Linked DNA regions of Lytechinus pictus. The protein of the gene in region 2 purifies or fractionates together with the protein of the main gene of each other region. This does not show direct contact. Links are inferred from orthologs where the notes say so. Each region holds a gene or a part of one and is shown on either strand. Other genes may lie near its edges.

What was found. Proteins that work in one complex are often made in the same cells at the same time.
Region 1: the proteins of 3-hydroxyacyl-CoA dehydrogenase type-2-like (region 2) and tRNA methyltransferase 10 homolog C-like purify together in Homo sapiens (co-immunoprecipitation; 3 studies listed by BioGRID and IntAct, counting the BioPlex papers as one, with this or other methods). This does not show direct contact. The link is inferred for Lytechinus pictus from reciprocal best matches to the Homo sapiens genes HSD17B10 and TRMT10C.

What each region holds. Positions count from the first base shown.
Region 1 is NC_087247.1:56,837,193-56,844,278, reverse strand, and holds the start of tRNA methyltransferase 10 homolog C-like, read right to left. Parts: upstream 3,004-7,086; 5' UTR 2,921-3,003; intron 1-2,920. UniProt on the Homo sapiens protein: Mitochondrial tRNA N(1)-methyltransferase involved in mitochondrial tRNA maturation. Component of mitochondrial ribonuclease P, a complex composed of TRMT10C/MRPP1, HSD17B10/MRPP2 and PRORP/MRPP3, which cleaves tRNA molecules in their 5'-ends.
Region 2 is NC_087247.1:37,436,925-37,444,725, forward strand, and holds the start of 3-hydroxyacyl-CoA dehydrogenase type-2-like, read left to right. Parts: upstream 1-4,784; 5' UTR 4,785-4,990; coding exon 4,991-5,014; intron 5,015-6,502; coding exon 6,503-6,667; intron 6,668-7,486; coding exon 7,487-7,801. UniProt on the Homo sapiens protein: Mitochondrial dehydrogenase involved in pathways of fatty acid, branched-chain amino acid and steroid metabolism. Acts as (S)-3-hydroxyacyl-CoA dehydrogenase in mitochondrial fatty acid beta-oxidation, a major degradation pathway of fatty acids.

The DNA of each region.
Region 1 (7,086 bases), about 19 Mb from region 2:
GGGGCTATTGTAACTTATTGTTGCATGCGATATTTGTCTGTCTGTATGCTGCAATAATTATTTCTTGCTGCATCCTGCAAGAACATCATGTTTTACAAAAGGAGACATTCCAAAGACATTATAACGACAGATTGGTAGACTTTTCAGCAATTAAAAATTGGAGTTTGAGACGATAATCTTTCAGAGAAAATATGTCTTTGAAAAGAGTCACATGTATTTTCAGCACAGAAGCGCACAAGCAGAAGCGTCGGGGGCGCAAGGAAATTACGCCTCATATCAGCAATGCGCTTTATTTTTTCAGAAGAGACGCTTCTATTGGTTGACCTAGCATATAACAAGCAGTAATGATTGGTTAATGAAATATTGGGCGTGGTGTCCATGGTGTCAGAGATAAAATAGGTGACATCCTTACAGAGATAAGTCATAACTTAGACAATTTCCAGAATGCCAATTGGCAAGACTTCCATAAATGTATATCCCCTCCACTATTAAAAATTGAATAAAAAATATGGAGGTTTATCGAGAATAATCTAAAACATATATCCAAGAGATTTAGGATGGAAAAGATGGATACATACCAAAATATGGCTTTATTCTGTCAAAATCTCGAGTGTGTGTAATTCCCGGTCCCCGGTAATACAATACTGCAAGAGTTTTCAGGATTAAAGGAGGCAGTCAGTGTAGCTTGAAACCTTCCCAATCATGGCATCAGTTTATTTAGTCAGAAAAACAATAGACTCTACTACCCAATACTCTTGTCTTGACTAGTCGTAACATCGGTTGATAACCGTTATGAAACCCATGGCTTTCAACTATTCCTGCTAGCTCAGTAAGGTGACAGACTGGAGATGCTTTGTTCTGCAGCGAGAGGTTCGAACAAGACAAGGAAGTCTAGACTCTAGCTTTCTACCTCGGGCGATGTTCGTGCAGGCTCCACTCCACTTCACTACCGCTACACTCCGCACCACCTACCCGAACATCGGGACCGTGAACCATTTCGGATATACCGAGTCACAAAGGTGGGATGGCAATCATGATAATCTTAAAAATTAAACAAAAAATATGTAACGAAAAAGATGATTGACTTAATATCTTACTCTACACCCGTATTTCACTCCGTTTCCATCCTCCGGTTATCCTCAAAATTGGTGATTTTGGGCCAGTATCTATTTCCTCACACGTATTAGGGTGTCTGAAGCCACACTGAAAAGTGTCAGCATAAAACAGGCTAATTTAGGGGAAAATATGGCACATTTTTTCAGGGAAGTTCAGGCTACTAGAAAAATGTGATCTGAATTGATTATTAACTTGTGTTTGGCATGTATGGAAAGAGAAAATTCAGGGGCATCTGTTGACAGTAAGGACAAGTTTATATGATCATTTTAAATAAGGATTTAGAGATAAATTGCAAACCCTTATTTTTGTGTGTGTTGAGATTGCCATTTCTCCATGCGTTTTCTATGGGAAAATGAAATTTCTGTTTTGCACAATTTTTTTAACTTTGTCGCAATTTTTCATTGTGATCTGGTTTCCAAATCTTTATGAAAATCATACCATCAGATAGAGCATAAAAAATCCTATTGGACTCTTTATGGACAAGTTTTTGGCATTAATAATAAATATATAACAGCTCTCGGAAGCTAAAAATTTGGATTTGTGTGTGTCCATTTCTTAACTACACAGTCTATGGCAGAGAAATGCTGAAAATTTACCTAATTTCATTCTTCTTTTTTGCAGCCAATAATTGGATTTTTTTCGAAATTTTTACATTTCTGTCAGTCTGAAGGTAATTTCTCTTCAAATTCACAAAGAAAATGTGATATTTTCTTGAAATAAGAAAAATAATTTTTTTCTCCAGACACCCTACACGTATTATTCACGGCCGATTTCAAAACATCGCATGCGATTGCGATCGGTCGCAGGTCAAACCAATCGCGATCGCATGCGATGTTTTGAAATCGGCCGTGAATAATACGTGAGGAAAAAGATACTGGCCCAAAATCACCAATTTTGAGGATAACCAGAGGATGGACACGGAGTGAAATACGGGTGTAGAGTAAGATATTAAGTCATTCATATCCCTCGTTGTATTTTTTTTCTTTAATTTTTACGATAACCATGATTGCCATCCCACCGTTTATGACTCGGAATATCCGATCTAGTTCACTGTCCCGGTGTAGCCCCGGGGGGGCCACTTCCATTGACAAGTGGATACCATGCGCAACCATGGGGTCTCGAAAAGCACCCTAAACACGTATTTTCCATATTGAAAATGCACCCCTTAACAGAAAATAACACGTATTGGCATGTGAAACCCTACCCTTAACAAGTATTGGAAACAAAACGATACTCTTGGCAAGTATTCCCTGAAATATACCCCTAAACAAGTACAGGAATAGTTTGTCACTGGTCCTTCGGTCGTTGGTTTTACCTTTTAATACACATCATTTGGTTTAGTACGAACCCACCTTCCGCACGTCGCGCAAATCGGACTCTAAACACGAAGTGTTGTGGCAAAAGGATATCCTTTATAAAATATTTTAATTTTGTTTAATCATCCCCGCAAATTTGACCCTAAACACGTAACTTTTCTAGCGAAATACCACCCCAGGGGCCCAGGGCCAGGCCAGGCTTTACATTACCGAGTGCACGATACGCTCCGCTCCCGGGACTCCGCTGCCGAAGCGAGGCCAAGGGCCCGGGCGAGGCGGCGGAGCAGCAGAAAAGGGCATGTCATGCACGTGCAAGGAGATCGAGTGACCTCTGAGTCTGACTCTAGTAAAGAAAAGTAAGACTAAGAGTAGCACAGTGCTTACTCCTAGGATTTTCATTGCCTACTTTGTATTTTGAAGTAAAACTGATAAACGGCAATGTACATGCAAATATTTTGGGTTAAAACCAGTAGGATCGTTAAACTTACTATCAAGATTCCGGAGACGACGCGTCGTCGTCCGCTTCAGATTTCACAGTTTGTCTTCATCAATTAACACTAGAGGGCGTCAACGCAACACGATACTAGTATATGGTCCATCCAGGAGCCGTTTCATCAGCTGATAAGGCGACTTTAAGAACGACTGGTGATCCTTTCTTTCGGTAAATGACATATATGGACCATTTAAATGTTCGTTGGTGATTATTTATTTAAGGTTCACCGGTAGCTCTTAACTTACGAACAACTTTATGAAACACCCACCTGGGGGTGTTTCACAAAGATTCGCTCTTAAATGCCTAGCTGCCAGGGGCGTCGATCCATTTTTCAGATGGGGGGGGGGGGGGGGGGGCAAAATCATGAATCAACGTTCCAAATAGGCGCTCGATCACACAAAACAAACTAACTCACACACCCCCCCCCCACACACATAGGCCTCTCTCTCTATAAATATATGTGACTCATGAGAAAGAGACACATATCTCACCAACAAATTAATGCGAGTGCGAGCTGAAATTTATATTTACAATGATCTGAAAATAGGAAAAAGGTACCTGTTTAGGACTGTTTGTAGTAACTCATGAGGAGGATACATATATCACTACACAGATAATGCGAGTGCTGAGAGCGAGCTGAAATTTCTTTAAATTCTGACCCGAAAGCATGATACTCTAAGGATTTTTGGTACCAATGACTAAGATGGACGGGGGGGAGGGGGGGGGGGGCACTCAGTTTATAATGCATAGTGGGTATGTGCCGCGGAGGGGACCCCCATTTTTACACTCAAATTTCCGTTCCAAGGCATAGCATTTTTGTCTCATTGAGGTCTCATTGAGAAAAAGAACAAAGAAAGCCGCTCCAAAGCATAGCATTTTTTTCTTATCGAGGAAAAAGAAGAAATCCGCTCCAAAGCTTCGCATATTTTTCGTTATGCCGTTCCGGTCGCATTGATCTGCTACAATGAGCTGCAATTTTGGTGAAAAGTGGCCGCAGAGCGCTGTCCGACCATCGCCTCTGCGCGAGCGCACCCGGGCTAGCTGCATCATGCACGCATGCCCGTTCCATATAGGGATGCATACGCACTCACACGCTGGCGATCCGTTCCAAGGACCCCCGTTTTCACAAATATTTGTTGTTCCAAAGCCCGTTCCGAGGACCCTCCTTTTTACAATAAGCCCGCTCCAAGGCCCCCGTTTTTTGTCTCGCCCGCGGCACACCCCTACCACTTTTTTGGTCGAGTGCCCCCCCCCCCCCCCCCCGGGATGGGACGTATCTAAAAGAGCAATAGATGTGAGCGCGAAGCGCGAGCTGAAGATTTTGATATTTCAATCTGAAAAAATGACTTTTTAATGAAGAACAAGATATATATCCAACAAAAGATTATTGCAAATTGAAGCGCGAGTTTTTTTTTTAGGTTTAGAACTGAAAACGGGACATTCTATTCACCTATTTAATCCTGAAAAGTATGGGTTTTTACTACAGAAATGATGCGAGCGCGAGCTGAAAATGTGTATATTCCAATCTGAAAAGCGGACATTTTGAGCACGATTTTAAATAAAGAACGACTTGTGTATCTCGATCTCGCTTGCTAATTTATGTGTAACATTACAATCTTATTTTATTTTTGTACATGCGGAATTATTGTGGGGGGGGGGCAAAACGATGTTTGCCCCCCCCCCCCCGATATTTTCATTGGTGGGGCGATCGCCCCCCTGCCCCCCCCCCAGGATCGACGCCTCTGCTAGTTGCGTGCAGTATTAAAGGCATGACCGCAATGGTCAGATCATGCCAAGAGGACGCGCAGGACTGCGTATTGATCAATAAGATTGCGCTTGCATATCATGTATGTGTCGGAATTTAAGTGCAACTCTTAGTCATTCTTCAATCTTTGTGAAACACTCCCCTGGACTGAAATATTAGTTCGTGCTAGATTATTTCCTGAAAAAAAAAACAAGTGAGAATGTAGACCTACTATTTTCAGGGCAGCCAGACTCTGGTAATTCTTATGTTGTATACAGGCCTATTTTCCAGCATGCATGCTTTAGGATAATTATTAAACTATTGCAAGTAACTATGAACACACACACCTACTCCTGACACACATACAGACACTCACAAACACTCTCGCATACAAACGTTTCTACCGTTATGTATGCTTATATACATAGATATGTTAAGCAAAATGAAGAGACAAGAAGAAGCTACAAGCAATTTTATATACCTCAAGAAGAAAGCGGACATAATGTTGGAATGTTGGGTACTATTGCCTTTTAATATTGCAGGACCAACAATGCAATCGCAAATTGATTATACAAGGCATTTGTGTAATAATGGAAAGACATTTAAAGTTCCTCACATGCTTCATTGCAATTAAAGAAGAATGTAACTCTTGAAACCAGTTGAATTATTTTTAAAAGAGAAAAATAAAAAAATAGACCAATGAAAGTTTGAAAAAATAAATGAATAAAAATAAAGTTACGAGCATTTGAATATTGAAATCACTAGAAATATGTAAGTTCTAATGAGAGGACATGTAGAACAGCTAAGCTTTTACAACATTAATAAAATTGTTCTTCCTTATTAGAATGGACAATATATTTTTAGTGCACAAATGGGAAAGTTTTTCATGTGTGACATCAAACATCTTGTTTGCATTGCCAATGGATTTCCATTGCATTAGTGACATTAACATTCAAATGCTCTTTCTAATTAAAACTTTTTCATTTATCTTCTTTGTCATTGCTTTCACACAAACTAACTTATTTCAAGGGTTTAATCTCCTTTAATATATAGCAATAAAATACAACGCAATACAAGGGAATACAAATTCAATTGACTACACTTTAATTGAGTACATGTATTTTCATTCATTGATGACATGACTATGAACAATTAGGCAGTATAAAGTCATTGAAAGCCATAAAACTAAAGTAGTGGTATTAAAATGGGATATATATAATCATGTGTCTATGGATGATTACAGGTAAATACGAAAATTCAAAGCATAAACAAATCTTTGACATTCTAACATGAATTATTTACTTTATAGAATGATAATAAGAAAGAAACAGCAATTTCGATTAACTCTATTTGAATAATAATTGTAGAGAAGAGAAAGACTAATATCAATGTCAAGTAAACTGAAGAGATTCTAAAGACTCACAAAGGGATCAAAAGAATGACATATTACAAGGACAAGTCCACCTCAACAAAATGTTGATTTGAATAAAAAAAAGAAAAATCCAACAAGCATAACACTGAAAATGTCATCAAAATCAGATGTAAAAGAAAGTTATGACATTTTAAAGTTTTGCTTAATTTCACAAGACAGTAATATGCACATCCTGGTGGGTATGCAAATGAGGAGACTGATGACGTCATCCACTCACTTTTTCTTTTGTATTTTATTATATGAAATAGGGAATATTCTATTTTTCTCCTCATTGTCGAGTGAAACAGCGATTAATTCCTCCCTGAACATGTGGAATGAGCATTGATTAATACTATATGATTCAGTCAAGTTGGTCCTTATTGTCAAATCTATAAAAAATGAAATATTGTATTATTCAAACAATAAAAAATAAAAAAAATAGTGAGGGACATCATCGATTGTCTCATATGAGTTGTACATATCACTGTTAAGTGAAAAAAATAAGCAACTTCAAAATGTCATAACCTTCTTATTTTACATCCGATTTTGATGAAACTTTCAGCGTTTTGCTAGTTTGATTTTTCTCTATTTATTCAAATCAACATTTCCTGGGGTGGACTTGACCTTTAAGCACTGTATTAGTATACCTAACTTTCTCTCATAATATCAAAATTATGATAGCAGATACAAATGGAAAAATACATGGGGCCTTTAGGTGATATAGCTCTTGAAATGGTCAAAAGACCCCTGGAAACTAAACAAGTGGAACGCCTCTGGCAGTCTCGCCTGCATTACGCAATTTAATATAGCAGCAGTGCTAACTTTGAAAACTACTATAAAATAATCATTCACAAAAACATCATTCATATAATGACATAATGCCACGTTCATTGACCATAAATGACATTTGAACGGAGACTTAAGACTGTCAACTACACCCATGTCCACATTTCATTCACTCTATCCATAAACTTTCAAAGTTATGATGGCACTTCAACAATTACCC
Region 2 (7,801 bases):
CAAGCCCTCTTTCTTGTTCTTATCACGCTTTGAGCTTCGCCCTATCAAATGCTCGGGGCACAATCATAATATATCCTGTTCATACAATGATATGACCGGGATTTTTTTTGGCTCTTGCCCCCCCCCCCCCCTATCCACCGACCCCTATTACGCCCCTGGGGGGGGGGATGGGGATGAACCATTGTTTCTCTCCCCACTTGAATATTTTTTTTTTTCTCTTTAAACCTCTTTCGAGGGACTTTATTTACATCTCTATAATACAGTTTACAAATCACAAAGTATATACAGTAATCAAATTAATCAATCAATAAATGAGTTCCAGCAATTTGTCAATTTCTTTTGTATTCTTATTTTTGGTAACATATTTTGAACTTAAATACCATCTCAGTTTCATTTTCAAATTCATCCATAATCTATTTACATTAACAAAGTAATAACCTTTTTTCATACTCGTTTCAATATAATTTCTGTAAATGGTGTATTGAGTAAAATTCAAAATGATATTAATTAACCAGTATTTCGGTTCTTGTATATTCCAACCTAAAATTACTATATTTTCATTAACATAGACCCCACTTGAATATAGTATCCCATGATTTAGCCTATGCAGAGAGAATGTATAGAGACGGAGCAAATTTTCTTAACAAAGGATATATATCCTATTCCTAGATAATGACACAATTTCAGCACTTTTGACAAATTTAAGACCTTAAGTTTACAGCATAAGTATTGGTATATTCGTCGGTAGTTGGAGTAGTAGTTATGGCGCAGTCACATTTGCCATACGGCGGCCGTATGGCGAGTCGAAAACAGCCGTTTCAACATAATTATTATACCAGCTAAATAGGTGTTTGAATAAAAATGAATAAATGGCAGTTTTCGACTCGCCGTACGCTGCCGTAGGGGAAATGTGACTGCATTGAGATATACTGTTGTGCGAGGGACCCAGTGTTGCGACCGAGCAAGAAAATAAAAGCTTTAAAACACTTGACGACATGAATGGAGTAGGGCATAAGCGGCGGAAGTGGAAGGGGGGGGGGGACGCGTCCCCCCTAAATTTAAGTTGGGGGACAGTCCCCCCTAAAAAAGAGAGGAAGAAAAAAAGAAAGGAAGGAAGGAAAGAAGAAAGAAAGAAAATAGGAAAGGAAAGGAAAAGGATAAACGATAACAAGTGTAGGCCTACTGAACAGCTGAAACATTATAAGAATTTAAACCTATATAAAATAGCGAAAAATTAAAGTTTTACTATATGGAAAATAGTACACAAAGTTTAAACTCGTTTCTTATAGGACTTTGTTCAGAAAAAAATTGACAAGCAATTTTTTTTTCGCACCAAAATGAAGGATGTTTAGATCAATTCTATTTATTTATTACCCTTGATATGATAATGCGATGCTATAAGAAAAAAAATATAACGAATAGTAGTGAAAAGACTGGAAACACAAAAAATATTGAAAGAAATAGATTTGTATCTGAAAATGCGCGCAACTATCCAAGCTCACTCTCTGCGCTAGGCTAAGATCGCATTTCCTCAAAAAAACATGTATCAGCACAATGGCTGTTTTACATCATGGTCCTGAAGGACAAAATATAATCAGTGAAATAAATTAAATATTCATAGGATTAATATATTAGCAACAAAGCGAATATAATATACAAACAAACAATATAGCAAAACTTAAGAGTACGACAAAAAGAAGGTTTAAATCAAGAGAAATGTGACAAGTCGAGTTTGGAAGTACAAACAATAATTGTTTGAATGTCTGAGAAATAGAAACATAAGATGAGAAATAGAAACGACGGAGGATTGAGTAATAGTCGACTCCAGGGATGGAGCGAAAATAAAGGGGATTGGGAGTCAGAGAGAAATGAAACAATTAAGAAATGCAAGAGTAATGAGAAGAGGAATATTAAGAAGGAGAACATTGAAACAAACTCAAAACATTTTAGAATGTAACTAACATATCAAATATGATAAAAAAGTAAACATAATTATTCTAGTCATTGTAAAAAAAAACATGTGATTGAAGAGTAATATAAATCTTATTTAAAAATATTTATGTTTATAATTTCTCTTGAACGAGTTGAGGGTTTGTTGATTTTGTAATTCATTTGGGAGAGAATTCCACGATTTTGCACCAGAGTATTTAAAGGACTGTTTGAAAAGTTCGGTATTTGGTTTGGATAATTGAATAAGAACTATCAAAATCAGAGCACGATTAATTATTGTACTTTAGGTTTATATATCATCAGTGATTTTTTTTTCCAATTTTTATATATATCTAAAAGAAAAAAAAAAAAAAAAAAACATGGTTATTGGTTGTTGCCTAGTCTTATATCTTTAAATAAAAAAAATTAATGAGATTAACTTGACAATTTTACTGGATCCCACCCGACGCGGGCTTCCCGCTACGCGAAGAATTAAAAAAAATGGAAAAGAGGAAGAAGAGAAAAATTAGAGGAAGATTGAAAACAAAAGAGAAATGTGAATGAAATAAGGGGAGGGGAATACTTAGAAAATAAAAATGAAAATTTTGATCGCGCTTCGCGCTCGCATTCCCTGTACAAGAAGATAATCTGCTCACGGGGATAACATGGAGCTTTGAATATCCCATTTTAAAGTCAATATGCACAAATTATTTTGCTCGCGAATCGAGTTTTCATTGCATTCTGTTCTTGCTTTAAAAAAATACGTATTCTCTTCACGAATTACAGCAAAAAAATGCATTAAGTGTTCCCTTTCCAATTCAGTATATCACTTATTTTCATCTCGCTTCTCACAATCGCATAAAATGTTTAGTTGGATATCCATCCTTTTCATGATTACCAAAAGTGCTTAGAATGCCTAAATTTTAGGTCAGAATATAAAAAAAATTTAGCTCACGCGTCGCGCTCGCATAAAATGTTTAGTTAGATAACTATTCTTATTCATGATTACCAAAACTAAAGTGCTTAGAATGTCCAAGTTTTAGGTCATGATATCAAAGTTTTTCAGCTCGCGCTTCGCGCTCGCATGATTTTTTTTTAATAGATAGATACCCATCCTAGCTGTTCAGGGTCACAAAGAATGTTTAAAATCAAAATTTTAAGTCAAAATATCAACATTTTTCAGCTCGAGCCTCGCGCTCGCATGAATCGTTTATATACATGTAGATACCCATCCTGTGCTTAGCCGAAATATCCAGTTTTGGGTTTGGAATATCAATAATGTTTAGCTCTCTCTACGTGCTCGCATAAAATGTTTAGTTAGATACCCGTCTTGCTCATGATCACCAAAAGTGTTTTAGAAATGCCAAAATTTTAGATCAGAATATATATTTTTTTTCAGCTCGCGCGTCACGCGCGCAGCATCAATATTATTGTTTAGATACCGTAAGGGCACTAGTATTCAACCCGTTTGGAGAGTTTCCTCAAATATATAGAAATATATAATTTACCTGAATTTCAGACCCGTCTTACTTCCAAGAGCAAATTCTGGTTATTCTTTTTCCGTTATTTTTTTCTTCAACCCGTCGACTGTGTGCGCGGGCGATCGAATTATACGGTGATGGTTTTTGGCACTAGTATTCAATCTGTCGGCACTAGTATTCAACCTAGCGATGGAAGATGGCCCTGTCTTTAAATCTGCCCTTGTTCCATCCGACTATGGACTAGACCAATTGAGATGAGACTAAACAGGGAATTAATCAAAGCCAGAGACTTACATAAATCTAGATCTAATTTAGCAATCTAAACCATTTTGAAATTAGCCATCTATCATCACTATCATCCCAGCCATGGCGTAATTTCCTTCGGCAAGAAATTTATCCACATTGTGCTGCACTCAACCCAGGTGAGGTGAATGGGTACCTTGCAGGAATTTATTCCTTGAAATGCGTGTGCGCTGTAATCTTAGTAATTACGGCTGTCAAGCTACAGCTCGGGTAATAATATCCAAGTCCTTTGGAAGCGCATAGAGACATTATTCATAATTGTGATATGCGCTATACAAGAACTGTTTATTATTATTATTATTATTAGGTTGAATACTAGTGCATTTCAGTGCAAAAGGTCATCGCCGCATTATTCGATCCTCCGCGCATACAGTCGATAGATTGATAAAGAAAATACCGACAACAGATTACACTGGAAATAACAAAGGTATGAAATTAAGATAAATTCCCTATTTCTAAATATTTGGGGGAATTTGTCCAAATCTTTGAATTATGCCAGGTTGAATACTAGTGCCCATATGGTACCCAACCTATTCATGGTTTTAAAAAGATAGCTAGAATGTCCAGTTTCATGTCAAGTCGGAATATCAAAAATTTTCAGCTCGCGCTACGCGCTCACATAAAATATTTCTTTAGATACCCATCGTGTTCATGGAGGGGGGGGGGCGCCATTTTCCGAAAAGTACACAGGAGCACCAAAATCAGGTTGGGCCCCGGGTGCAGAATCATGGACGCCTACCTTATCAGATGTCTAATCTTGTTTTTTTTAAGAAAAAAACTAATATGTACTTAAGACTTCAGACTTCAGTGGGGGCTACCCCCTGAACAAAAAATTAAAAAGTCAGGTTTAACTTAGCAGTCGACTGGGGGAAAATGTGGGTGAAAATATTTTTTCCGTCCCCCCCCCCCAAATGTTGATGCCTCCGCCGCCAATGGAGTAGGGCCTATATTATACCAGTGTAATTTGTATTTGTTTTTATTTTTTCTTTGGGGTCGGATTTTTTAATTTTTTTAGGGGGGGGGGGGGTTGAGTCCCCAAAGCTCCCAACAACCACTCGTTTCAGTTCCTATTCTTTCGTTGTTTTTAATCGGCAGTCTGGTATGACAACGTACGTAACCGGCTGGCCGGAGGAAGCCCCGCCCCCACACAATTGGCGTTCCATAAATCAGTGGCGCGATCATCTTGTCATTCTTGCTTCTCCTGCCCGCTATTTACTTCTAAACGTAAGTTTATTGGCGGTTTTGATCGACTTAATTGTGCCGGTTTATTCACCAGTATGTCATCGGTAAAGTCAGTGAAGGTAAGTGTACATGAAATACCTCGACTTGTTCTTGGTTCTGATTAGACTTTGAAGACCGCCTGCGCGAGTTTTATAGCCGTAGCGTAGCCTAGGCGAGGCCTAGGGACGTCCGGACCCCTGCGGCTCCGGACTGTCCCGAGTCGGAGGACGGCACGTACGGTACAAACTGGTTATGCCAATGGTATCGTGCCGGAATGCGCGGTTCGCCGCGAGCCTTGAGGACTCCATGATATTTTTTAATATTTTGACATATACTTCTTTATCATGGAGCCTAAGTTGAACCGCCTGCCGTATAATAAGAGACACTTGTAGTTGTTGACATGTTGTAAACAAAGATGGATTTCCCTAGGAAATCCATCTTTTAAGATAAAAATCACGTAGGTCCTAGGCCTAAATGTTTTTGATTTTATTTATTTTTACACCTTCATTCATAGTACGCATAAATGCGTATGATTGAAGATTTCCAAAATTGGTTAATGAAAAGGCGAACTATTGAAGGTTTCTTACCTGACCGATCTCGTGTAGATCCCTCGATCCGTTTGTCAACAAAGCAAATACAATAGGTCTGACCCTTGAACCGCTTCGTTATGACGTACCTTCGGCTTTGATTAGCGATGTTACAAAATGCCGTTTTGAAGAACAATTTATAGATAAAAATTATTATTTAACAAATACTAAAATTAAGACGTGATTAGGAATAACAATTATTATTATAATAATTATTACTAATCACGTCTTAATGACTTTTTTCTCAACTTGGTCATCATGTAGGCCTATGTGGAAACTTGCAAACTATCTCATATTATTTTATTTGAAGTAGAAAATTAACAACCTTAATGCACTTACCAGATAAAAATATTTTACAGAAGTAAAGTGGGCATGGCAACAATTAAAAATCTCAAATTGCCCAAAATTACTTATGGCGCACTTTGGTTATGCCCTGGCCCACTGTGCCTCGATTCACTATCTGTAGGCCTACATTTTTGTCATGAAAAATTGTAATTGATGCAAAAAGTAAATTTACCAGGAATACTTTGTACTCCAATGCAATGATCAGTAACTATTTCACTAATTTTTCATGCTTTTATCAGTTTGAAAATTGATGATTTGAAACCTGACTATTTCTTCACTCATAGATTCACTATCAATTAAAAAACATCACAATTGCAAGAAGGCCTGGCCAGCAGCCACGGCAATGCTTGCGAATGCAATGCTTTCAATTTGGTAGTGAATTTAAACTGTGACAAAAAAGGTACAGTTTTTTAATATGGTAATCGATTTCAAAACTGATAGAACATGGAGTATGACTTTGGACCAGTCATAGTTTTTGCACACTATTCTCATTGAACTGTGCAGAAACTGGTTGGAAGCCTTATCCTGCATTCAAATTAAAAAAATTGCCCATTGTTTCCACCCAAAATATGTATAAATACGAATTATATGATTTAGAATGTAAAGGAGTAAACAATCTTTCTATTTTTTGGGAAGGGTTTAGTTGGACTGGTTACAGGTGGTGCCTCTGGTCTTGGGAGGGCTACTGTGGAAAGATTCTTAAGAAATGGAGCCAGAGTAGTCATTGTAGATCTGCCAAACTCTCCCGGTGAAGAGCTAGCTAAAAGTTTGGGAGATGACTGCAAATTTTCTCCTGGTGATGTAAGTATAAAATTCTTTGGAGAATATCTTATATTTCCTGAGTATTTTACCTTAGTTACTTCATTATTTTTCTAATTATTCTCAATGAAGGTTGCTGTAGAAGAGACAATTGCTATAAAAGACAAGTATTCAACCTCTTTGTTCAATGATGGAAATGATTTTTACTGAATTGTATGAATACATTGAAATAATTTTATGAATGAGTCATTTATATTGTAGCAATGATTAATGCTTGAATTAAAGCTTAACTAGTTTAGTTCTGGATTTGAATTTGAATAATTGAGTGAACTGCCTCAAAATAATTGTGAAAGGGTGTGTGTAATACACCTGAAGAACTACCAAAAACGTTAGCGAATTGACTCAAACACTAGCTTCTAAAGATCAAATCAACTGCACACAGATGAGCATGTATCATGTATGGAACTACACCCGACTTTGGAAAAAGGTTCAAGCTGCTTTTTGTTTTATTTTGAAGAGCATCCTTTGCTATGAAGTGAACCATTTTTTAAAATTTTCCTAATCATTATCAAAAGATTTTTATAGATCCAATTCTTTCCATCCTTCCCACAACTTTTGTTTATCTTGAAGCTCGAACCTAATTTTTAGAATCAACATATTTTCCCTTGTAGTACTGTTCAATGTTGATTGCAATTGATGTTTAGAAGCAAACATAATTTGCTCTGAATACCAAATCTGTTTCCATAATTGAGTCATGGGCAAATTGTACATCAGAAATTAATCTTTATAAAAATTCCTGCTGCACATTTGCAGCAAAATAGTGTATATTCTGAAGTTTTGCATTATTTGAATTTCCATCAGGTCACTTCAACAGATGATGTAACGAAAGCCATAGATACTGCTAAGGAATCGTTTGGACGTCTAGATGTAGCTGTAAGCTGTGCAGGCATAGGTGTAGCGGCCAAGACCTACAACTTTAACAAAGACCGACCCCACCCACTAGAAGAATTCCAGAGGGTCCTGATGGTCAACACGGCGGGTACCTTCAATGTAGCAAGACTTGCTGCAGGAGCCATAGGTAAAAATGAGCCCAATGCTGATGGAGAAAGGGGGGTAATTATCAACACAGCCAGTGTAGCGGCCTATGATGGACAGATGGGTCAGGCAGCATACTCG